Linked DNA regions of Zea mays. The main gene of each other region encodes a partner of the protein of the gene in region 3 in a complex. Links are inferred from orthologs where the notes say so. Each region holds a gene or a part of one and is shown on either strand. Other genes may lie near its edges. The genes, in order: uncharacterized LOC100280033, uncharacterized protein LOC100276896 and O-sialoglycoprotein endopeptidase.

Region 1 (7,825 bases), on a different chromosome or scaffold from region 3:
GATGCTCAGAGGCTGTTGAGCATCCAAGCGAGCATTGAAGAGTTGAAGCAGAAAATGGAGGGGCAGTCAAAGGGAAAATCCCCTATGAACTCTTGAGTACAGCAGTGTGAGCGCTCAGGTGCATGAGACAGAGGGCCATGTCTTGGAACAGATCAATCTGAACAACAAATTGACTAGGACGGCTGAGAACTACCCCACACTGTCAGATAATATGAGCACCGAGCGAGAAGGGTATTCCAGCAGGAGGAAGATCTCCGAGCAGGTGCAGAAAGGGTCGGAGAATGTGGCAAGGTTGGAACTGGAGCTTCAGAAGATTCAGTATGTCTTGCTGAAGCTTGAGGAAGAGCACGAGTACAGAAGGCTCAAAGTCTCTGATAAGCGCACTCGCGTGCTTTTGAGGGACTATCTGTGTGGGAGGAAGGACCGCGGTGGCGGGCAGAAGAAAAAGAAGAAGAGGGTCCCGTTCTGTTGTTGTGTTCGTCCGAAATCAAGAACAGAGCCGTAGCCTTTCTTTTTGTTCGACCTGCACCTCCAAGTGGTAGCCGTAGTCCGAAATCAAGAAATAAAACAAAATCGACCTGCACCTCCAAGTGGTTGGCAAAGTGTCACCTGTGCATTGGAAGAGGAGGTGGTGTTCCTAGGATCCCCTTTGTAATTGAGTTAGCATTTTAGTATCTTTTTTCTTTTCTTTTTGAAACTAGCATTATAGTATCATGATGAAGAAGCTTATGTACTAAAAATTTTGGTTTCCTGTCTAAATGAGGCCATTATGGCTAGTTTAATGCGTTAATACTGTCGTATATCAAGGCGTTCTCTTTTTTTTTTTTTTTGAACAAACGCAGGAGAGCTGCGTGTCATTATATTAAGAAGAAAAAAAGAACATAGGAGAGACAAGACTTGTCAACCCCTAATTACAGAGGCCCCAAGGCCGAGACCCCTCCGGCAAAAACACAACGCACCACACACACACAAGGTAACAACCCGACCAAAAACGACTACCAGCAGGAAAACTGCTAAGGTCCCCTAGGGAGCTTGTGCAGCAGGAGGTCCTGCAGAGCTGATGCACCAGCCAAACACCAGAAGTTGCCCTCCTCAATCACAGCACTCTGAACTCGCTGGGTGCAGGGCACAACCCCCTCAAAAACACAAGCATTACGATGCTTCCAAATCTCCCAAGCAACCAAAATGATCAAGGAATTAAGACCTTTTCTTAGACTCTTCTCCACTTTCTTGATACTTTGGCACCACCAATTTGAGAAACGAGTGCATCCATGCTGAGGCACAATGGCAAGGAGGCCTAAATTGTGTAGCATGGACGTCCATATCTGCCGAGCGAACACGCAAGAGACAAGAATATGTTGGATGGTTTCCTCGGCCTGATCACACAGAGGGCAAGCAACTGGATGGGGCAGACCTCTTTTAGCAAGTCGATCAGCTGTCCAAACCCTGTTTTTGATTGCCAACCATACAAAGAATTTGCATCGTAAGGGGGCCCAGGTCTTCCAGACACGTCGCCAAGGGCCAAAAGGGATAGAGCCAACAAAGAGAGCATCATAGGCCGATTTGCTACAATAAGTACCATGAGCAGAGAGGCGCCAGATGTGTTGGTCTGCGATGTCAGGTTGCAGAACTACCCCATCAACCAAGTTCCATAGCTGCAGATACTCTACTAGGACCGTTACAGACAATCCTCCCCGAATATCTGACACCCATTGACGATTTGTGAGCCCCTCAGCTACTGTTCTTCGCTTTAAAGCCCTTCTAGAAATCACTTGGATAAGGGTTGGACAGTGTTCAGCCACAGTTTTACCAAGGAGCCAACAATCAGACCAGAACTTCACAGATTCACCACTGCCTACCACTGAGGTAATAGCCACATCAACGAGGGCCTTTGCATTACGGTGCACTCGGATAGGGAGACCAGCCCATGGCCTTGACGCGTCAGTCTTTTGTAACCAAAGCCACCTGGCACGTAGGGCCCATCCAAACATCTCCAGGTTGAGAATACCCAGACCACCATACTTGAGAGGCCGCTGGACAGCTTCCCAAGACACGAGACAGTTACCTCCATTTGCATCACCTTGCCCCTTCCAAAGAAAGCCTCGTCTCCTCTTATCGATTGCCTTAAAAACCCATTTAGGTAGTTCTAAAGCAAGCATAAGATAGATAGGGACAGAAGACAACACTGTCTTAACCATGACAAGACGACCAGCCCGGCTGAGAAGATTAGCTTTCCATCCTGGAAGTTTATCAGCAACTTTATCAACAAACGGCAGGAGATCAGAGTTAGCAAGCCTACGGATTGATAGAGGAATCCCCAAGTAAGTGCAGGGAAAATTTTTTGTAGCACATGGTAACAAGGCAGAAATGGTGGTCAGCTCATTCGCTCCACATTGAATGGGTGTAACAGAACTTTTGGAGATGTTCGTTTTTAACCCAGTAGCATGACCAAAGATGTCTAAAATGCTGATAATTGCTGAGATATCCTGATGAGAGGGCCGCATGAACAAAACAACATCGTCAGCATAGAAGGAGATACAATGTTTGGCATGTTGATTTGCAATCGGCTGCAGCATATGTTCCCTGAAAGCATAACTGACCATAGCATTCAAAGCCTCCATGACAAGGATAAACAGCATGGGGGACAAAGGATCGCCTTGCCGAAGACCCCTATGATGCAGAATGTATTCCCTAGGCTCGCCATTGACAAGGATCCGTGTAGAGGAAGTGCAAAGCAACAGACTAATAAGGTTGCACCAGCTTCGACCAAAACCCAAGTGTTGTAACATGTCAAGCAGGAATGGCTCTCTTTCCATCTATAATAGCTTCGTGTTTACAGGCCAAGCAGTGCATTTTGCTTCCAGGTTCAAACTGCAGAAGCAAAGCACCGGGACTAGTAAGTCCTTTCTTTAATATTGATGAATAATCTCATAAGGTATAACATCATCTCTTTCTTTAATATTGAATAATCATTATACAGTTTGTCAATTCCAATTAATAGTGGAACTTCTTTGTATATACGGTTATTGCATATCTCTACTATCTATTAAGTCAATAGTGTAGACCACATGCACAACCATGCCCCCACTCATGTCCTCCTTGTGCCCCCCCCCCCCTAGCTCCCTCGGAAACCCGCTGCCCCCTAGCCCACGATTGATCCCCTCCCTCCACGCCACCACCTCGCGTGGCCCAGTACCTCGCCCCCGTCCTTGATACCGCCACCCCGTGACCCATCTGAGATCGGCTCTTCCATCGGTCTCGGCCTCGACGCCACCCCTAAACTATGATGCCCTTCCACAGCCAGCCGCAATGCCCATCCACGAGGTCGCCGCAGCCGCCCCTCACCGCTCGCAGTCAACCCCCACCCATATGCGGCAGAGCCTGGCGTCACGGAGGCCAGCGAGGGCCCTAGGGCAGGGCCAGCCATCCGCTCTCCGCAAGCATGACCTTTCGGCCAGATCTGCACGGTTGGGCCGACGACCGGTTCTTCCCCCTCGTTCCTCCGCCCAGCGGGTGGTGGGTGCCTCAAAAATTCTAGCTGGTCGCGAGGATCTATTTGGTGAGTTGGGAGCCATAGCTTCGATTTGGGGGTTTTCCTTTGGTCTCAGAGTGCAATTCTGTATAAAAGGAGAGGAAGTTTAGGGCATGTTAAAGGGAAAAACTAAGGAAATCATGTTTATTGATAGGTCACCTGAAAAAAGGACATGAACCTAGAATCTGTTATAATTTTTTGATGTGTCTGGATAGAATTGGGAAGCTTCACGGACCGCTGAGTTAGAGTGGGAACCTATGTTGCCCTGATACGGGGATACAGATACGGATACGCGATACGCCGATACCCCGATACGCCATTTCTCAAAAAATACGGATACGGCGATACGCAATATATATTATAAATAAAATTAAATGTTGAAATGTCTGAAATGGATCAATGCCATAGTAATCTTAATAAGTTAATCATGGATTTACTAGTACCAAGAACATTTAATGCTGCTAGCATCGGTAGATGCACACGTTGCCATGGGATATTGGGATCTAACAAGAACAGAGAATGGGACAACCGGACAAGTACAGCGTCAGGCAGGGCAGATGGGAGATGTCGGCAGATCACAAACCTCAGTACCTCACGACGGCAGACGGGCTGGCTGACGGCGCGACCTCAGAGCTGGCGGCGGCGGACGCGGCCACGGATCGGCGACGGCTGGCGGCGCGCAGGGAAGCGCGGCTGAGCGGGTCTCCAAGCGGTGACGGGCTGGCGGCGCGCAGGTTTCCAAGGATCTCCAATCGGTGACGGGCTGACGGCTGGCGGCGCGCAGGAGCCAGGAGAAGCCGGACTGGCGGCGCGCAGGAGATGGTGCGCGTGCGCCGTGGGGAGAAGCAGTGCGCAGGGGAAATCAGGGTATCACGCACGTGTCCAATTGTATCCGTCTTTTTTTATTTATTTAAATTCATAGCCTCGGATACGTATCCGGAAGTATCGGAGGAGTATCCGTATCTGATACGGCATCCGACATCATACGTAAATTTTGAGAAGTATTCGTGCATCATAGGTGGAAACTATATCGAAAACTTCTGATATTTTTCGATTGATAGTCTCTCCACTGTGTTGGAAAGCCTTTTGAAGCATTTGGTTACTGGCATTATAGGAGATCATATACATGAACATCCCAACCTGCTCTTCGACGTTAACTCCTCATGTGTCACGTAACAAACCCTCTCTTCTAAGGAAATCTGATGTGGCTCTAAATATTTCTGGCTTCATTCGAAACTCGACTTGCACCAACTCTCATGCCCTTCGAGAATCTCCTTAACCTTCTAGGCACCAGAGAGAGGAGGTATGGATAGACCTTTTCTTTTTAGAGAGGAATGGAAGTACAGCAGGGAGAAGAATAAAGAAAAACTCTGCATTGTCTTCTTCTTCCTCCAACAAAAACTGTATAGCTAGCTCTTCCCAATAACCCATATCTAGAGAAATCGAGAAACTACATAAGCAACACATAATCATAGCAAAAGGCATGACAAGCATTTCTGTTCGAGACAATACCGAATGTTCTCGCAAAGATTTTGAACAAGGCTATGCAGGTAAACATCATACACTTGTAAAATTTAACCAGCTGAATCAATATGCCACAGCAAAATGGTTTATACCTATATAAATTAGAACAAACTAAAGTTACAATTATCATTTGAAAGAAATATAAAATTATCAAAATCAAAAGTACTAGCATCAGCACAAACAATGAGACAATAGATAAGGAAACATTGAACAACCATGGCAAGTACTAACGAGACAAACAATTGATCACTAATTAATCACCCTCATCCCTCTTCGGCAACTATTTGATAGATCTATATGCCCAGAGACATCTATTCCGCAATTCTATATGCTCAGAGACACCAACAGCAACAAAGATACCCCATGCCACTTTCCCCACTGGTTTACAGTTAACTAACTAGCTATTACCAACACTGAATCCATAGTTGCAAGAGAAAGTATAGAGCACAGAGCAGATCGTACAGAGCACAGAGCAGATCGTACAGAGCATGAGTTCAGCAAACCTTGTACTGGATCTTTTGGTTCTGTAGCACGAGCGCGACACCGGCATTCAACAAACCTGAGCGGCCTAACAGCAACAACCTTGTACTGGATCTTGGAAATCAAAGCCGAAGAAGAGTTAACATCAAATTGGGGGAATGGTTCGAAACCCTAGGAAAGCGAGAGGAGGGCGAAGACCATATATCGTCCGTGGAAGACAGCGGCGGCGCTATGGACGACGGCAGAGCGAACGGCGATGCATAGATGGTGGTGATGGAGCGGACGGCGGCGCATAGATGGTAGTGGCTACGACTGCACTATGGCTGCGCAGACGACTTCCCGTCTCGTCGCGCCGCGTCGTGGAAAGGTGCCTGGAGTCAAGTGTCCGGGAAGGGGTTCCCCCGGTGATAGGTCGGGTTGGGGGAGCGCTGACCCGGGTGAGCACGTTCCAAACGGACCGGAAATTTTCACCGGGCCTATTTCCACGGTGGGTTGTGGCCACGGTGAAATGCTCGTTTTCTCCCTCGGAATTGGACTTCCAAACAAGGCCTAATGGAAAGAAATTAAACGGATCCACAATACAAGTAGGCTGACCTATATATATTATATCATACCATATCGATGAGAGACCGAGAAAGCAATGGCAGCTTGTCAAGCTGATTATATTGCAGATACTTCTGTGTTCAATGAGAAATTGTATATTAAAAGTGAAAGGGAAATAGTCTCAGACATTTCCTATAATCGATTTTGGTGTTTGACGACCATCACAAACCTTTTTGACTAACCAGATTGCCTAGTTGATCATTTCACAGGTGCATAAGTTCATCTACAACCATTCTAACTCGACTGTCTGGAATACCGTAGATTATTCCGGACAGGAGAAGCTTTTTGGAAAATCACCTAAGGGTGGACCGTCCGCGACACCAGGGTGACCCTCGTACAGGAACACTGCATAAACGCAAGACAACATTACGGACCGTCCGATTGAGAAGTGAGCAACGTCCGAGACCAAGTGCGGACCGTCCAGCCTCAGGCGCGGACCGTCCGGTCGGTGAAGAACCAGAAAACCCGAAGGTGACGGGTTCGGTAAAATGAATTTTAAGCGTCCTCGCGGACCGTCCGGGGTGCACGACCGGACCGTCCACGACTGCGGTACCTGACATCTGACGACGCATTTAATGCATAGTAGTCGTTGATATAGCCGTTACTGCTGACCGTTGCGATTTTAGCCATTGATGTGCAGGGGCAGACCGTCCAGACCAGGGGTGCGGACCGTCCGCGGTCGGCAGAAGGGAGCAACGGCTAGGAAGTGGTTTGGGGCTATAAATACAACCCCAACCACCTCCATTCACTTCACCCAAGCACTCCAATCCTTCACATTCAATACAAGAGCTAGCAATCCATTCAAAGACACAATCAAAGCTTCCAATCTCTCCAAGTTCAACAATTAAGACAAGTGATCATTAGTGATTAGTGACTTGAGAGAGAGAGAGTGATATGTGTGTTATTTGTCGCTCTTGTCGCTTGGCTTTTGCAATCGTGCTTTCTTCTTTTCCCATTCTTATTATCAAGTGACTTGTAATCAAAGCAAGAGACACCAAGTGTGTGGTGGTCCTTGCGGGGTCTAAGTGACCCGTTTGATTAAGGAGAAAGCTCACTCGGTCTAAGTGACCGTTTGAGAGAGGGAAAGGGTTGAAAGAGACCCGGTCTTTGTGACCACCTCAACGGGGACTAGGTTATTTGGAACCGAACCTCGGTAAAACAAATCATTGTGTTCATTAGCTCTATTTCTTGGTTGATTTGTTTTCACTCTCTTTCGGACTTGGATTTAATTCTAACGCTAACCCTGGCTTGTAGTGTGTGCTTAAGTTTATAAATTCTAGATTCCGTCTATCCACCCTCCCCTCTAGGCGACTTTTCAATTGGTATCAGGACCTGGTACTTCATTTAGAGTCTAACCACTCGAAGTGATGTCGGGAGGCTCCGCTAAGAGGGAGATGGAAACCGGCGATAAGGCCACAAGCCAGGGGAAGGCTCCATCAAGGGAGTCTGGCACCAAAGGAAGGGAGGAATCACCTCCCCGTGTCAAGTCGCACTGGAGTAGCGACAAGAAGAAGAAGATGAAAAAAGTGGTCTACTACGAGACTGATTCTTCGTCGCCCTCCACCTTCGGATCTAACGTCGCGTCCCTCACTTCTAAGCGCCATGAGCGCAAGAAGTTTAGTAAGATCCCCTTACATTATCTCCGTATTTCAAAGCACGCTCCTTTACTTTCCGTCACATTAGGCA
Region 2 (7,352 bases), on a different chromosome or scaffold from region 3:
TTGTGAGATGTCTTGAGTTTACACGACACCAGTTTTCACAAGTGTGCACCACCGTACATAATTAGACTCAACTAGATCAAGTTACTCATCCCATGTCTCTCTTTACAGTATGACTAAATGGAAATAAATGTCCCATGTCTCTCTTTATAAGTGCTCATACGCATTTTGATGATTAATAAGCACCTAAGTGTTGGCCCGGTTTTTCACAGCGGAATACAGTCAGGGGTGAGTTAGGCTAATTTTATACGCATTGTGATGATTATTAAGCACCGGGGTGCAAAATGGTCACTAGTTGAGTTGGTTGTATGAATTGAGTAGCATTTCTCATGTTCTGAATTTAATTCCCAATGAAAACGAAATTTAGATTGGAGTTAAAAAAAATCCTCTCATGTATCCTACACCAAAGCATGCCAGAGCATATGAGCCTTTGCAGTTTGAGTTTTTTTTAATAAGCTCTGAAGTGTTTTGTCCGGTTTTTCACAGCGGAGTAATCGAGGTGAATTAGGCTAATTTCTTGAAACAACTAAATCATATTGGATAGCCCACACTGTTCCTTGTTTCTACGAGTGTTTTCCTTTCTACCATAAAAATTATATATATTAGGTTTCAACCTTGTTCTAGCATATCAATTGTAGTAATGCAAGGTTAAGCATTAATTTTCTCAAATGCAAATGCTCAAAGTAAAGGGCTAGAAAGAAAGCTGCCACTCAATACTAATTCTTATTGGAGCACTCACGTGTAAGGAAAACAGACCAAGACTAATTCGACAATTATGTTTTGATGTTTGATGATCAACGTAACTGTTTAAAATAATTTTATACACTAATGTTGATATAGTTTAAAAGATGTAATATAGACTTGGACGAAAGCAAAGAGGTGATCATGATAATCAACACCTGAAAAAAGACATTAGAAGGCTCATTGATGACCTACAAGATTATGCAAGAATCTAAGAACACAGGATAGAACCAAGCTGAACACAAAAATCATAAATAAACAAAACAAAAAAAGGATTTAAAGGAACTATACGGTAGAACCAAACACTAGTCGACTGAAGAACAGGACATCTGATGTGATCACAAGACCATTAATCATTAGAGCATTAGACCATACAGTCATACTATTCATCTCACAGTAGCTTAGATCGTAACTGTTCATGGACGTGAGAACACTTTAGACGAGTCTAACGATCACGCAGAAAGGTTCCAGATAGAAAAGTGTGGTGTCAAATTGGTCCAACGACGTCGCACTATACACTACAGAGCGTGGCCCTGACAGTCGGGCAACAGCCTGTGTTGACACAATACTGACAAGAGCCGTTGTGAGGCGTTGGTCCAACAGTGCAACCATTGGACGATCAGATGGTGAGTGGAGTTGGCTTTTATTAGTACAACAGCTATATCTCTCCTTAAGGCTATTAATAGGATCCTAAACCAGCCATTTGAGATGTGTAGGAGCTGAGAAAAAATAGCCATTGAGTTGAGACTCAAACACAATAGCTCTAAACATCTAAATGCTTAAGAAATTACTCGTTAATTAACGTAGTTGTTTTGCGAAGTGCTTAGATTAGTAAGACCACTATTATCAGTGCTTGTTCTAGGTTTTTTCTAACGATCAAAAGTAAGAAATAGACACCCCTCGTGTTTGTGCGCATTATTATATTATCTTAGGATAGTCTTGCAATATCATAACAGTTATGTTTATGGTGTAGCTGCCACTGCATAGAGAAAACGGCTCGTAACGTTTTTTTTACCGAGAAACACGATAACGGAGATGGGAGATGACATATAGCATCATCCGGAGAGGCCACAACCAGAGACCAGACCAAGACCACTCATTACTCGTGGAGAAAGCCTAACTGAGGATATATAGATAATTTTTACCTATTCATCATCTATACATTTCACAACGGCATTGCCGAAAAGAATTAACCGTTCCGAATAGGATTTGACCAATCAAGGGCAAATACTACACTAGCTTGACACAGATCAAGAGCAGTTCCACTGGTAAAGACTGTCCAAAACTCCAAATTGCTCACAGGCGAACTAAAATCAACTCCGCAATGCCGTGTATGAGATTGTTCATCAAGATTCAAGAATGCCCTGCATTGGCCACACCATATTCTTCGACGAGCTTCGTCACGAGTCCCATAAGATCCACAAATGAGCTGAACGATGCTCGCAGGAAGCGGGCCTCCACGGCTGCGAAGTGGCTGAATTCGCAAAATAAGATGGACTTCAGTCTTTAGCCTTGACACGGGAACGCGCAGAAAAACAGTTAGAGATGACAGAACGGATATACTAACACGGCCAGCTTGCTGCCTGATAGAGTCATCTCCCTCTTCACCTTGTCAGGCTGCAACTGCAATATAAAGTTGCAAAGCTGTCGGCAAGATGAAAACTGGACGAGTTCACAAAGTGCCAGTAGAATACGGCTACTTTACCTCCTTGTCAACTGCTAACGTTCTGTAGACTATGGATGCATTTTCTTCAGACCCATAATCGACTTCAAGGTTACTGCCAAACGATATGTCAGTGGTGCGCTGTGAGTTCTACCCAGAAATCATTCACAGCAGAAGCAAAATACTCCTACACGGTAGGGAAGTAGTGGTAACATGTATCAAGTCGTTGCGTTTTTCTTTTTCTTTGACCCATCAGGAAAATATCATCTCAAATTATCATCAGAGCACGGTGTCGAGGTCAATCGGGGAACCAAGCAAAGCTATGGACACTGATATCGAGTTACCCCTCCCTGGAAATCATAATAAGGATGGACTTGCCAAGCTACATCTACATGCTACCAATTCCCACAGGTTCAGTCGGTTTTTCCCCAACAATCATTCATGAAAATACACGGTTTTCCTATGTACCTTCATCCCATTGATTAAGGCATGCGTGTATTTTAAGAAGTCTAACCTTTTAAATCTTTGACTAACAATTATAGAGTGGAAACATAGTCTGGTGATACATTAATAAATCAATTTCCACGCTTCATCCTATCAATTTGAGATAAACTTATATCTAGATTTTAGAAAGTGGTGGAATGTCAAAATTCCAAGCTAAATAGCCTACTCTATTAAGTAGATCCTAATTCCTCCAAAATAAAGGAATCCAAACGGCCCCTAAAGAGAGTCCGAACTTAGGTGGTCTAGACATTCGTTTATACACTGCCATTTTCTGCCTAACAATAACCGTTAGTTTCTCTCCAAGGAAATCCGTCGAACATGAAACAAGCATGGCGGTGCAGCCTCGCACAGGGCAGGGCACAGCCGTCAACAGCATTCGCAGTGCACAAAGGAATCGTAACAGCAAATTAGCTGAGCAAGGAAGCTACGTACCTAAACAGTACGCAAATCTGACTGCATCCGCACACTGCCGGCCAGGGATAGAAGGCAGGGAGACTGGAAGACGGGCAGGGAGGGAAGACTCACCAGGTGAAGTCCCAGCCGCCGGATGAAGATGTTGGCGGAACGGAAGCAGCAGCCATAGCGGCAGCGGTTCACACACCGGTCGCCCCCCTGGCTGCAGCTCCGCGAGTAAGAGTTTTCGAGGCAGAGGCGGCGCTCGGAGTTGGAGGCGCCGTTGGTGAATGGAGATGGGTTGTTCCTAAACCCCTTCCCCAGTTCCCCTGATACCCTGTCTCTCTCCACCATCACTGCTGGACAAGTGGGCTGGAAGATTACCGTTCGTGAGCCGCATGTGATCTGGGCCCATGTAGGGCCACTTAGTCGATAATGCTGTCGACGGGCTTAACTCTCAACTCTCCTGGACGAGCCCAGCATGGCAGTAGGTAGCAAGTACCATACAGCATACACGAGGTGAGGACCGAGTAGAGATTGAAAACGAAAGCGGAATCGATCGAGATAACCTCTCCTCTGATTTTATTTTTACGATTTATTTTGAAAACGGGATGTTGTCCGTTAGGCTATTTTATCTCTAATAGTTTATTCATTCTCATCTTCATACATATATTTAAACTCCACTTTATGAACAAACTGTGCAATTCTACACTAACAAATTCTACACTGACAGTGTTTTGAATGTGAATTATTGGACATGGTCTTAGCGACAAATTAAATGCTATCGCCAACCACTTCTATCGTCGGGGTCAAACTCATCTTCCTCCTCGTTAGCTTCACCCCACCATCACCGATTCACCGATCGTCAACTGCTTTGACGGCAATAGCAGTAGTCGCTCATACTTGCGCTCTTGCATTCACAAACAGAGCCCGTAGGCATTCTACTGATGCACTCATGCAGAACATCTTCTTCCCTTTTTCTGGGTTCCCCTTAGCGCAATCCTTTATCCACATGTTAGAATTCAAGAAACGAACAAGTATCATTCAGTATGCATTCGTACTAACTGGCCAAATTACATGGATCCCAAACAGTATCCCCCTTTGAAGGTAAACTGTCAAGAAAGCAAAATGACCCCACTGAAAGATTTTCTTACAAAAGAATCAGACCCCAGTCCACAGTCTCAAGCCATATATCTACAATCCACAGTACACCGTTTCAAGTATCCCTAACCATCTATAACCCCTCTTAATCCGGAACCAAATCTTCTCGTGTTTGCGTTGAATCATATACCGTGCCTGCCTTTACCTGAAGTGCTCCCTGTTCGCATTGCCACCGCTCGCAGCAAAAACAAATACCGCCATTACTCTCCCTTGTATTCCCGTCACTCAACTTGCTCGCCGATCAGATCGAGCCCAACGACCAAAAACGATACCCCTTGGAACAGAAGGAAGTAGAAGTGTATTCCTTGCACCGATATCAGGCTCCGAGCAGCTGCTGTTAAGAGAAGGAAGGAGAGCGCCAGCTCCTTCCTGTATATCCTATTGTGTTTCTTCCTTTGGGAGTCCTTTCTGAGACTGGAGGAAGGCTCCTTTGCAAGGGAACCAAGGTTGGATGCGGACCCTGCCCTTTGCTGTCTAGGCTGCTTCTCGACGACGAGATCGCCCTCGGAAGAACGGCCTGATTTCTTGGTGACGACCCACTCGTGGGCGCTCCCGAGCTGGAACAGGCCGGAGACCATGGCGTTGAACTTGGTTACCGACATGGTGTTCTCGAACAGGAGATAGGGCACGATAAACGGGAACGATTTCGGGGCTGGGAGGATGTTCAGCAGGGACATGGTCGCCGGGATGTAGCACACGACCCAGGCAGGGAGCTCGGCTTCGGGAATAAACATCGTCATGGGAAGGATGATGCAGAAAAGGGTGAAGGAATAGAAGGGCAGAATGAGCTTGCGGAGGAGAAAGAAAAGAAATATGAGGTTGAACTTCTTCCAGAATCCGATCTGCAGCAAAAAAAAAAGGAATGAAAGGTTAGCGGTTAGCCCCAGCATAAAAAAAGGTTCAAAATTTTCCGAAAAGCAAACATGTTAACTTATTGTTGAGCATATAATCATAGAGAGCAAGGAAAGGTCCACACCTTCGACTTGATAATATCCACAAAGCAGAGTCTAAATAACTGCATGGGACCAGAATGCCATCGGTGTTGCTGCTTTCGATATGCCTCATATGACTCCGGCAATTCACACTGGCACTGAAAGAATAATCATGCAACACAGCTTCATTTGTAATCACAAGTCTTAACACAATATAATATAACCATAAAGTAAAATGTTATATATGTGTAAGTACCTCAACATCGTTAAGGAACAGAAACTTCCAACCCTTGAGGTGTGCTCGGACAGCAATATCCATGTCCTCCACTGTTGTCCTCTCCATCCATCCACCTGAATCCTCGAGTGCCTTTATTCTCCACACTCCTGCCGTTCCATTGAATCCAAAGAAATTGAGGAAGATCCCATTAACCTGCTGCTCCACCTCAAAGTGGAAGCAAAGGTTTATGTTTTGCAGCCTAGTTAGCAAGTTCTCATCCTTGTTCACAAAAGACCACCTTGCCTGAACTAACCCAACGTCCTCATTGCCCTAGAAACCTCTCGCACAATGAGTCAGACAATTGAATTCACATGGACTCATCCTTAGATGAAAATGCAAGCAAAAGATGTCCGCCAAACCTTGAAATGGGGCACAGTTCGCTTCAGGAAGTCTGGCTGGGGTTGAAAATCAGCATCAAAGATAACAACAAACTCATAATCCTTTACATAGCTGCAGTTCATGGCTGACTTGAGATTTCCAGCCTTGTAGCCATCACGAATTAACCGGTGTCGGTACAATATGCGAACGCCTTCCCGTTGCCACTTCTCCACCTCCTCTTTAATAAGTGTTGAAGTGGCAGCGTCATCAGAATCGTCTAGCACCTGCACCAAGAAGTTTGGCCTTGGCCAGTCCAGACCGCAAACAGCACCAATAGATTGCTGGTACACCTGCAACCATATAAATCCCCGCTTCAAGATTGTTAAAAAAATGTAATCTTAGACTTTTCTGAAGTAGTAATTTAGTAAGATGTAAAAACATGCTAACATAACAACCATTGGTTTCAGCGGTTTCCTCCTCCAAGCCTACGATCAGTTCAATGTCCATTAGTCCTCTTTTGCAAAAGACAAAATTTGAGAATTTTCTATTCCTCCAACTTCCTAAGGGGCCATTCGGTTTTCCGGTGACTCGGAACCGTTCCTAGCTTGGATTGTTTCCCTCGTTTATATAAATTTTGATCACCTAGAACGATTCATGGTGTATTCTTAGAGAAACGAACAAGGTCTAAATGTGTTTTGGGAGGCCAAGGTGCGAAACAAGAGAGACAGGAGTGTATTCTAGAATCCCGTCCCCCAACCCAAAACAGACTTTATTTTCCTTTGACCAATGACCACAGATTCCAATTTCAGAATCGAGTTTTTAACGAACTTTGAGAAGAAAAACCTCACCAAAATGTCGGTAGCAACTATAGTAGTAACCATGTACTGGTGCTTTCGGGAGTTGTTGCCAGAAATTGAAACTGCCACATACCATTTGTATGCATATGCATCAGTCCAATCCCCAAATGGTACGTAGAACTAGAGCCCTTTGTGTTTCCGCTAGTGGCACTAGAGCCAAGGTTTCCCCAGTCTAAAACTACCCATTCCAGTATTCCACCATCTGTTGAGTCCTCCCAGTTTCAGCTTGAAAATCGAATCTTTCGATCTCTGCGACCACCAATGCTTCTAGGGCACTCAAGGCCCAATCCCAAATGCATGAACACATCCCGAATCCGGCAGAGAATCGAAATGCTTTTGTTTCCAGCTCACCTCCTTCTCGTTGCGCATTGGAATCTGCACGAGCACCATGGGGAAGTTCCCGGTGCCGGCCTCGACGTCGTCTGACCCTTTGCCACCAGCCTTGGGGACAGGCCTGATGCCCCTGTGCTTGATCCAGAGGCAACCCAGGCAGAGGATAAGGCGGTCGG
Region 3 (7,696 bases):
AAAATATTAACGGCCCGTTACCAGTCGCATGTCTGTCTTACATGAATGACACCCGATCCGTAGACAACGTACAACACACCTACGAACAAGATCTATCCTTGCCGAATCAGATTTGCATCAAGAAGTGTATCCAGTGTCCATGATCTGCGTAGCGTCATGAAAGGTAATAAGACCATAACAAAACCATTGTCCACATTCCAAGGACATTCGCTTCTGGATAATGCAATCTATACACGTTAGTTGGGGTGGGGTTTATAAGACAACATATCTTGTGCATCAACCTGTGCACCCAGACATTTAGAGACATTCAATTCGCATCCAACACAAGCGTAGTAGTTTTTTCTCGCAAAACAAAACACCCACATAATAATCCAATGTATATATTTTACAGAAAACCACCACCTTAGCTGATGTGCATTGGATGCGAATCGAAATAACTCCCCACGTTCCCAAGAATCCAATGTCGATCCAAAAGAGGCTGCTTTAGAACCTTAACAGATTACCATCACAAGAGTAACTTAAGAGTTAAGCTAGCTTTGCAGAAATGCGTCTATTAGTTTACAACAATAATAAGTTCACTCGATGAAGTAACTAACTAGAATGTTAAGGTGATAGGTGAGGTTTGATCCATGTCAGCGATTGGTGAGGTTTGATCCATGTCAGCTATCTTCAGGTATGTCAGGCATACGACATGTTCATTTTACCTGCTGCAGTTCATACAACAGCACAACTATTCTGAGCCCCTGCCATGTGCCTGGAGGAGGCTTCTCCCAAACAGAGCAAAGATATCACATTTAGATGTGGAACTATCTGTTTGTAGAGTGAAGTTTGAGATAGGAGATGAGATAGGACTATAGGAGATCAGTTGGAGATAGCCTTAGGAGTGGTTCTAGGCTTTACCGTACAAGCATTTACTCTTTACTGTCTGACAGAAAAGAAACAACCTCATCAGATTGCGGCTGCTCAGAAGTAAAACACATGAGGATATGCAGTGAAGCATAAAAAATCTATAGTGGTTCCTTCTGTTTCGTATTGTCCAAAAAAAGATGCATAGTTTTGCATTTAACAGCATGGTTTGCACACTAGGTAAAACTCATGCACTAGAAAACTTCATTTGTAGAGCATATTCATCATGTAGAAAAATCAAACGCACGAAAAGTGGGATCACACCCAACATCGTATCATCCACAACTCCACATGAATTGCCAAGTACTCCTTCCATTTCAAATTATGACACATTTTTTGGGTTTTCTAGATACATTGCCTTAACTATATATATCCAGACATAGTGTACACCTAAGTACATAGGTTCCTGTTTGGAACCCCTAGAGATATTAGTTAGCTAGCTAACAAATTGATAGCTGGGTTGAGTCAGCTAATGAACTAATTGTTAGCTGTGAGTTAGCTAACAATTAATTGGGATATTAGTTGTGGGTGTTTGACCTATACAACTAATTTTAGCAGTATTAGCTCTAGAGGTTCCAAACAGGGCCATAGCAAACACTATGCATCTAGTAAAGCAAAATGTCTTAGTTTGGAATAGAGGGAGAGTAATTGGTAGCGATTGTCTCCAACAATCCAAATTGCATTAGCTATCATGAAAAAACATTAGCAGCAAGACAAAATTGTAAAGGCCAATTGTACCTCAGTAATCTATAACGATTGGTGTTGCCATGGAGGCTTCATCTTTAGAAACTTCAGCAATTGCATCTGAATGGGTATTATTTAGCACCGGCATCTCCTTCTCTCTCCAAATTGCATGAACTTCATCAGTTCGGAATCTTTGTGTAAATGTCGACTCCTCAAGGGGAGTGGTCATGCCATGTGCATACGCCAGTAAACCAGTATATGCAATCATTGCCCCATTGTCTATACAATAGCGGTCATCAGTTGCAAACAGCCTACCCCCTCTTTCTGAGCACATAATCTTCATCATCTCCTGTAAACGTTCGTTGCAACCGACGCCACCAACAATAAGAACGTCCTTTGAATCACAGTGTGCCATGGCACGTTCAGTAATTTCGACAAGCATGGCAAAGATAGTTTCCTGAGAAATTAGGACTTTCATCAGTGTCACTGTCAAGAAAGCATAACCAATTATTATCCACAAGGGGGGAAAGTTTAAGAGCATGCAAGTACCTGCAATGAGTAGCATAGGTCCGCAGGTGTGCACTCATTATTTTTAAGCTTTTCAATCGCCGCAGCTTCAATAAAGCTCAATATGCCACTGAATGACACATCCATACCCTTCACAACATAAGGGACATCAATGAATTTTTCTCCCTTCTTTGCAAGCTGGACAAGGAAAATAAATACGGTAAATTAAGAAACCAAACTCAAGGATGAGAAAAGAATGTGCCATGTTGTACAAAAACATAAATCTGTTCAAGCTTCAAAGTGAAAATGTCTTCAAAAACAAAACAAAAAAGAAAGAAAGAAAAATGCTAATGGTGACAGCTAATACAATGATGAAGGTAGAATGGTAGATAACAATACCATGTGGAACTACTTCAGAAGTACTCTCTTGAATGATTCACACAGACTAATCCATAGTGTCAACAATGTTAATAATAGTGTCGAAGTTCAATCTTAACATAGGCCAATCAAATGGGGACTTCCTGGGATTATCCTATAAGCTCAAGCCCTATGTATCCAGGGATAAAATGTGAAGGCTTCCAGGGCTCAAAAGCTTATTGTCCATCCATCTACACGACCACTCAAATAATTTAGCACATACAGCCAACCAAACACCATTCAACACATGCAGCCCTACTTCAGACAGTCAGCTAAATTTAGTCTCAATATTCGAATAAAGGTTTGAGAAAAAGGAACATATATAGAATGAAGCTAATTATGACCCCATACTGGTCAAAGTGCTTAAACGACCAAACAACCCATTGGATACATTTGACCTGGCCGTGATACAATAAATGTTCTTCAGCTGTATGTAAAAAGATAAGTTCTGTTGGCTGATTGTATGAGTTGGCAAAATAAGAGTAAGATAGTGTTTGGCTACCTAAATGTGTTAGTTTAAAAGAAAACAAGGAAACATAAGTGATTGCATAGACTGAATAAATCTATGGTGACCTTCATTATGCAAGCAATGTCACACAAAACTAGTCCTACATAAGATCTGCCCAGCATATTATATAGTTCAATACATAAATATAATCAAATGATCGCTATGTTTCAACAAAACATGCTCCCTCTGTCCCAAAATAAAATTCGTTTTAGAGATTTATTGGATTCACACAATACTTGATGAGTCGATGTTTGCGTTTTATATTTGTGCCTAGATTCATCTTCATCCATTTGAATATAGACATAAAAATCAAGAGCTAAAACGACTACTATTTTGGAACGGAGGGAGTATAAAAGTAATCTTGCCCACAAGTACAACACTCCATTATTTGATGGAGGCAACAAACTAGCCACTAAATGTACAGCCAGCATAAATTAAATTGCCTATGAATTTCGTAATGTAGGTTAATTTTTCAATTAAATTCAAGTGGCTAGGGTCAGTAAAAAGTTCAAGAGGTGCCAAAGTTCCACTGATAGCTCCAGGACTCATAAACACCCTTTCATGATAAAATACTCATGGTGCACTAATAACTTTTACCATTTCCCTAACAATTTGCCACCCAGGGCATTTACATGTATGTGATGCAGTCGTCATGGTGACAATACTTCATGCTAGAAAAACACTCACACAAACCAGCATCTATGTGCATATCGCTAGAATTAAACAACATTAAGCAACAGCAATTGGATAACAAAATTGGCATTTGATGGAACAGTTTACCTGCTCGATGTTATACCCGGGGCTAGGGTCATTGGAGAGCTCTAGGACCCTGGCGAATCGGTCAAGGCAGTTCCCGACGGCAATATCAATCGTTTCCCCGAAGATCCTGTACCTCCCCTCGCTGTAGGCGATAACCTGCGTGTTTCCGCCGGAGACGTAGAGTACAACGGGGTCCACGGCCCCAGTGACCGCGCGGCCCATCTCGATGTGCGCAACGCAGTGGTTGACCGCCACGAGAGGCTTCCTCCATAACAGGGAGAGCGCGCGGGCGGCTGCGGCGGCGACCTGGAGAGGGCCGCCCATGCCGGGGCCTTTAGTGTAGCAGACGCATGCGAGGTCAGCGGGGGCCACACCGGACTCAGCGAGCGCGGCGCGGAGGAGAGGGAGGAGGTGCGCGAGGTGGTGCTGCGCGGTCTCCCGGGGAAGGAATCCATGACCCGGCGGTGTCACGTAGGTGTGGCGCGGGTTGGAGAGGATGTCACCCGAGAGGGAGACCACGCCGATGCCGATCTTGTTCGCCGAGGACTCCAGCCCCAGCGCAAGCGGGCCCCGGGGACGGCGGTTCGCCGGGGACGGAGACGAGGACATGGCGGCGGCGGCGCTAGGGTTTTGGAGTTTGTGGAAGAAGACGAATTGGTGAGAACCCGGCTCGCCGCGCGCCTCGAACGTGGAAGTGTACAAGAAACCAGCCCAATTTTGGCCTTAGGGCCCATAATTTCAAAACAACTTAGCCCAGTGGCCCACTGACAGTGGTCGAATTAATGTAAGGTCAGTGGAAAATACGATCTTTTTTTCATGCAACAGTTGCTGAATATGGCCATCAGGCAACGTCATTGTGATAACAATCTAGTGCGAAGGTAGTTGTTGATTGTTTGGAGTTATAATCTGTTAGTTCAAAAGCTGTTGGATTATATAATCTAGATGTATTATAATCTCAAACAAACATCCTATCAACAAACATCCTCTTAGGTGACAATTTATCTCACTTTTTTTTTAAGATTAAGGCCATATTTGTTTACCCTCCACATTATATAATACAGCTTAAATAAATTGAGAGGTAAACAAACAACACCGATTATTAGATGGATTATATAATCTATATACCTAGGTTATAATAATCCATAAGCAGATCAATAAATGTTTATATAATTCATAAACTGGATTATATAATTCTAGAAGGAAATAAACAGAACCTAAGTATAACACAGTTAACTGAGAACCAAACAGGTCCTTAATGATGTCAGCACTTACTCTGATCAATGAATCTTTGTTTGGTAGGAGATGATTCAACCGGTCCGTACCATTGTTTTTACTAACACAAGGGAGACTGCTTAATCTAGCAGTTTACTTCTAATGAGGTTTATTACTCTCAAACACTTTATAAAGTCGTTAACTTCATAGAGGTAATACGGGTGTATGTTTGGAGTCTTAATATACCCCTAGAGTTCACTTTTTTCTTGTGATGGTTGTCTAAGAACAAGCTACTAACTCGTGACAATCTGAGTTTGAGAAGGAAAGTAGAGGACAAATCTTGCTTATTTTGTAGTGAGTCTGTGGATCAGTTTTTCATCTCTTTCTTTGACTGTGTGTTGTAGTTAAATAGCTATCGTGTTGTATGTCTAAAGCTCTAGATAAGAGTGTAGGCGTTGATTTTGTTTCAACAGGGCAAATGTGGCTTAGTGAAAAAAAAAGTTTGTGGTAGATAATATGTTTTGTTGTTGCTGTGGCCCTATGGGGGGCTTTGAAAACTAAGAAACGGTATTTACTTTCAGGGAACTTGCTGGGGACAAGCTGATACAGTTAGCTAGAACCAACTTAACTCGTAAGCTTTTTGAACCAAACAGGAATTATTGTGGGTTGAACCCGTTCTAACCCGCGTCAACCCGTTAACCAAACACACCCTAAGTTTCTTCACCAGAGTGATTCGGACTGGGAGATGACAGGGATCTCGGATGAAAGAAGCCACAAGTCGCCTGGTAGACTACTCGCCGTTGGAAGATGTGTTTGAAAAAGGGAACCTCCGATCCTGTAAATAGTCTTGCGCATTTATACGAAATTGTTAAGGATGCAACGTGAAGTTACAATTGATTGATTTTTTTTCCTAATAGCCCAACCAATCACGTCATACATCATATATGGCTGCAAACTACAGTATGTTCTTTCTTTTGACAGGCTTGTAATTGCTTGTGGGGGGGCGTGTCCTTCACAATCTTGCTGGTCGGAGCCGGCGTGCAAGGGTTTCTATTATATTGTCAATTTGTCAAACTTCGTTCGCTACCGAGTTCATCCTGAAACCTGCATCCCAAGATGGGATGTTTGACACGGAGGAATTTTCAGAGCTCAACAACGTTCACTTTTTCTCCGGATCGCTTTATTTACTCATAGCTGCGCTTGCTATGCAGGTAGCTTGTTGCCCAGCTGAGCAAGCAGACACATCACCCTATACATATAATGGAGGTACTAATAACGCGAGCACGTGCATGATAATTCAATCTATAGGTTCGTTCTAACTTCATCAACTGTATTTCAAAGTTTACGTTTGGTGTTATATATGTTTTGATGTTAGAAACTTTGGAGAGGACTAGCAATAAGTTAGAAAGGGTCTAGGTACTAATGAGAGAAGTTAGGACGTCCACAACAAGCGAGAGTACAAGTCCAACTCGACTTTGACTCTAACTCGGAGTCCAGGACTAGCTCGCACTAAAACTGACGTCCAGAACACATACAGACTCCATTTTCGGCGTTCTTTATATGAATGTAAAACTAATCATATAAGCTTTCCAACCCAACTGATCTCGTTTTAAAATTACTTCGGGGTCAACGGGAATCATTGAAAAACTCAGTATCCATATTTTGTTCCGGTGTTGTGATACCATATTTTTTGTTGTTGGCCTGTGTATCGTGTTCGAGCCTATTGGAGACGTGTCCAGGGGTCTTGTGGGTAGGGGTGGTAATGAATCACGATCCAAATGTATTTTTACAATTTGTTTGAACCCTTAGTTAGTTTTAGTTTTAAAATGAATATAAATAGGTCTCGTCCTAATTTGATCTGTTCCTTAAATTTTATAATGTAAAATTTAGAGCTCGTTAGCATTCTTACTTGCACACCCCTAAACCCTATTTTATCAACAACCACCACCACCATTAAGATTGAGATTTTCTTAATGTTCACCGCTTTGTCAGACCCCGCCTCGTGACCAATATCAGTTTGATTGTGTTCTTACTGTTATTACTTGTGTTCTTGGTTATGTTTGCAGATATAAACCTTCTTAGCGAGGTCATTTATTTGTCAGCAGTGGTATAGTAATTACGAGGAGCCATTCGCCGAAATCTTGATGGTGTGGTGTAGTAATTATGAGGAGTCGTTCGCAAAAACCTTAAATCATCAATGTCAAAAGCTCCATCTAAGGGCTAGTTTGGGAACCATATTTTTCCGAGGGATTTATATTTTTCCATTGGAAAATGAACTAATTTCCCTTGGGAAAATAGAAATCCCTTGAGAAATTGAGGTTTCCAAACTAGCCCTAATAAGTTTACTAGGTATATGCTTGTGTGTTGCGACGGCGTATAAAATTATTCGATAAATATTAGTGCACAACGTATACATGAAAACGAACAACATATATATCATCAACCCCATATCTCACAAATTAACACTAATGACATGAAATTTGTGCTCAATTCAAATAGTGATAAAATACATTGATATGCAAAAATATTATATGTTATTCTACACTTTTATTAGCATCACCAAAAGTGGACGTTTACATATCTTAAAAGATATATATCGCACATGTGCTTTGTCATTGATAAAAAATAAACAATGATAAATATGTAGCGAATATTAATCAACTCATTGATTCCATAGAAGGATATTATATAAATATGTAGCAA

Evidence for each region.
Region 1: the proteins of O-sialoglycoprotein endopeptidase (region 3) and uncharacterized LOC100280033 are in contact, whole or in part, in a cryo-EM structure (PDB 8K20), measured with the Arabidopsis thaliana proteins. The link is inferred for Zea mays from reciprocal best matches to the Arabidopsis thaliana genes AT4G22720 and AT5G26110. Residues at the interface, in NP_194003.1 of Arabidopsis thaliana: Glu147, Arg149, Arg151, Phe194, Lys202, Gly203, Tyr235, Glu239, Ala243, Val246, Glu247, Glu250, Arg251, Ala254, Arg272, Met280, Glu283, Arg284, Arg329; in NP_001331017.1 of Arabidopsis thaliana: Ala19, Glu20, Lys41, Lys42, Tyr43, His45, Ile47, Leu48, Arg56, Gly158, Leu159, Val161, Asp168, Arg178, Arg218, Gly219, Lys221.
Region 2: the proteins of O-sialoglycoprotein endopeptidase (region 3) and uncharacterized protein LOC100276896 are in contact, whole or in part, in a cryo-EM structure (PDB 8K20), measured with the Arabidopsis thaliana proteins. The link is inferred for Zea mays from reciprocal best matches to the Arabidopsis thaliana genes AT4G22720 and AT5G53045. Residues at the interface, in NP_194003.1 of Arabidopsis thaliana: Arg47, Leu54, Leu58, Gln91, Val92, Ile95, Arg98, Val99, Leu100, Gln102, Leu103, Ile319, Glu320, Asp321, Ser322, Phe324; in NP_850925.1 of Arabidopsis thaliana: Ile33, Thr36, Ser37, Val40, Asp41, Lys42, Ala78, Asp81, Val82, Leu85, Arg88, Thr89, Ile90, Phe93.

Annotation. Positions count from the first base shown.
Region 1 is NC_050100.1:34,848,823-34,856,647, reverse strand, and holds the start of uncharacterized LOC100280033, read right to left. Parts: upstream 4,342-7,825; 5' UTR 4,116-4,341; intron 591-4,115; exon of another isoform or gene 1-590.
Region 2 is NC_050098.1:199,129,536-199,136,887, reverse strand, and holds uncharacterized protein LOC100276896, read right to left. Parts: upstream 3,612-7,352; 5' UTR 3,487-3,611; coding exon 3,431-3,486; intron 2,517-3,430; coding exon 2,444-2,516; intron 2,362-2,443; coding exon 2,306-2,361; intron 2,213-2,305; coding exon 2,092-2,212; 3' UTR 1,841-2,091; downstream 1-1,840. Other genes in the region: Probable xyloglucan glycosyltransferase 1-like, read right to left, coding at 4,681-5,301, 5,436-5,549, 5,648-5,938, 6,028-6,336, 7,195-7,352.
Region 3 is NC_050101.1:140,538,759-140,546,454, reverse strand, and holds O-sialoglycoprotein endopeptidase, read right to left. Parts: upstream 4,420-7,696; 5' UTR 4,391-4,419; coding exon 3,803-4,390; intron 2,296-3,802; coding exon 2,140-2,295; intron 2,048-2,139; coding exon 1,646-2,047; 3' UTR 1,645-1,645; intron 926-1,644; 3' UTR 516-925; downstream 1-515.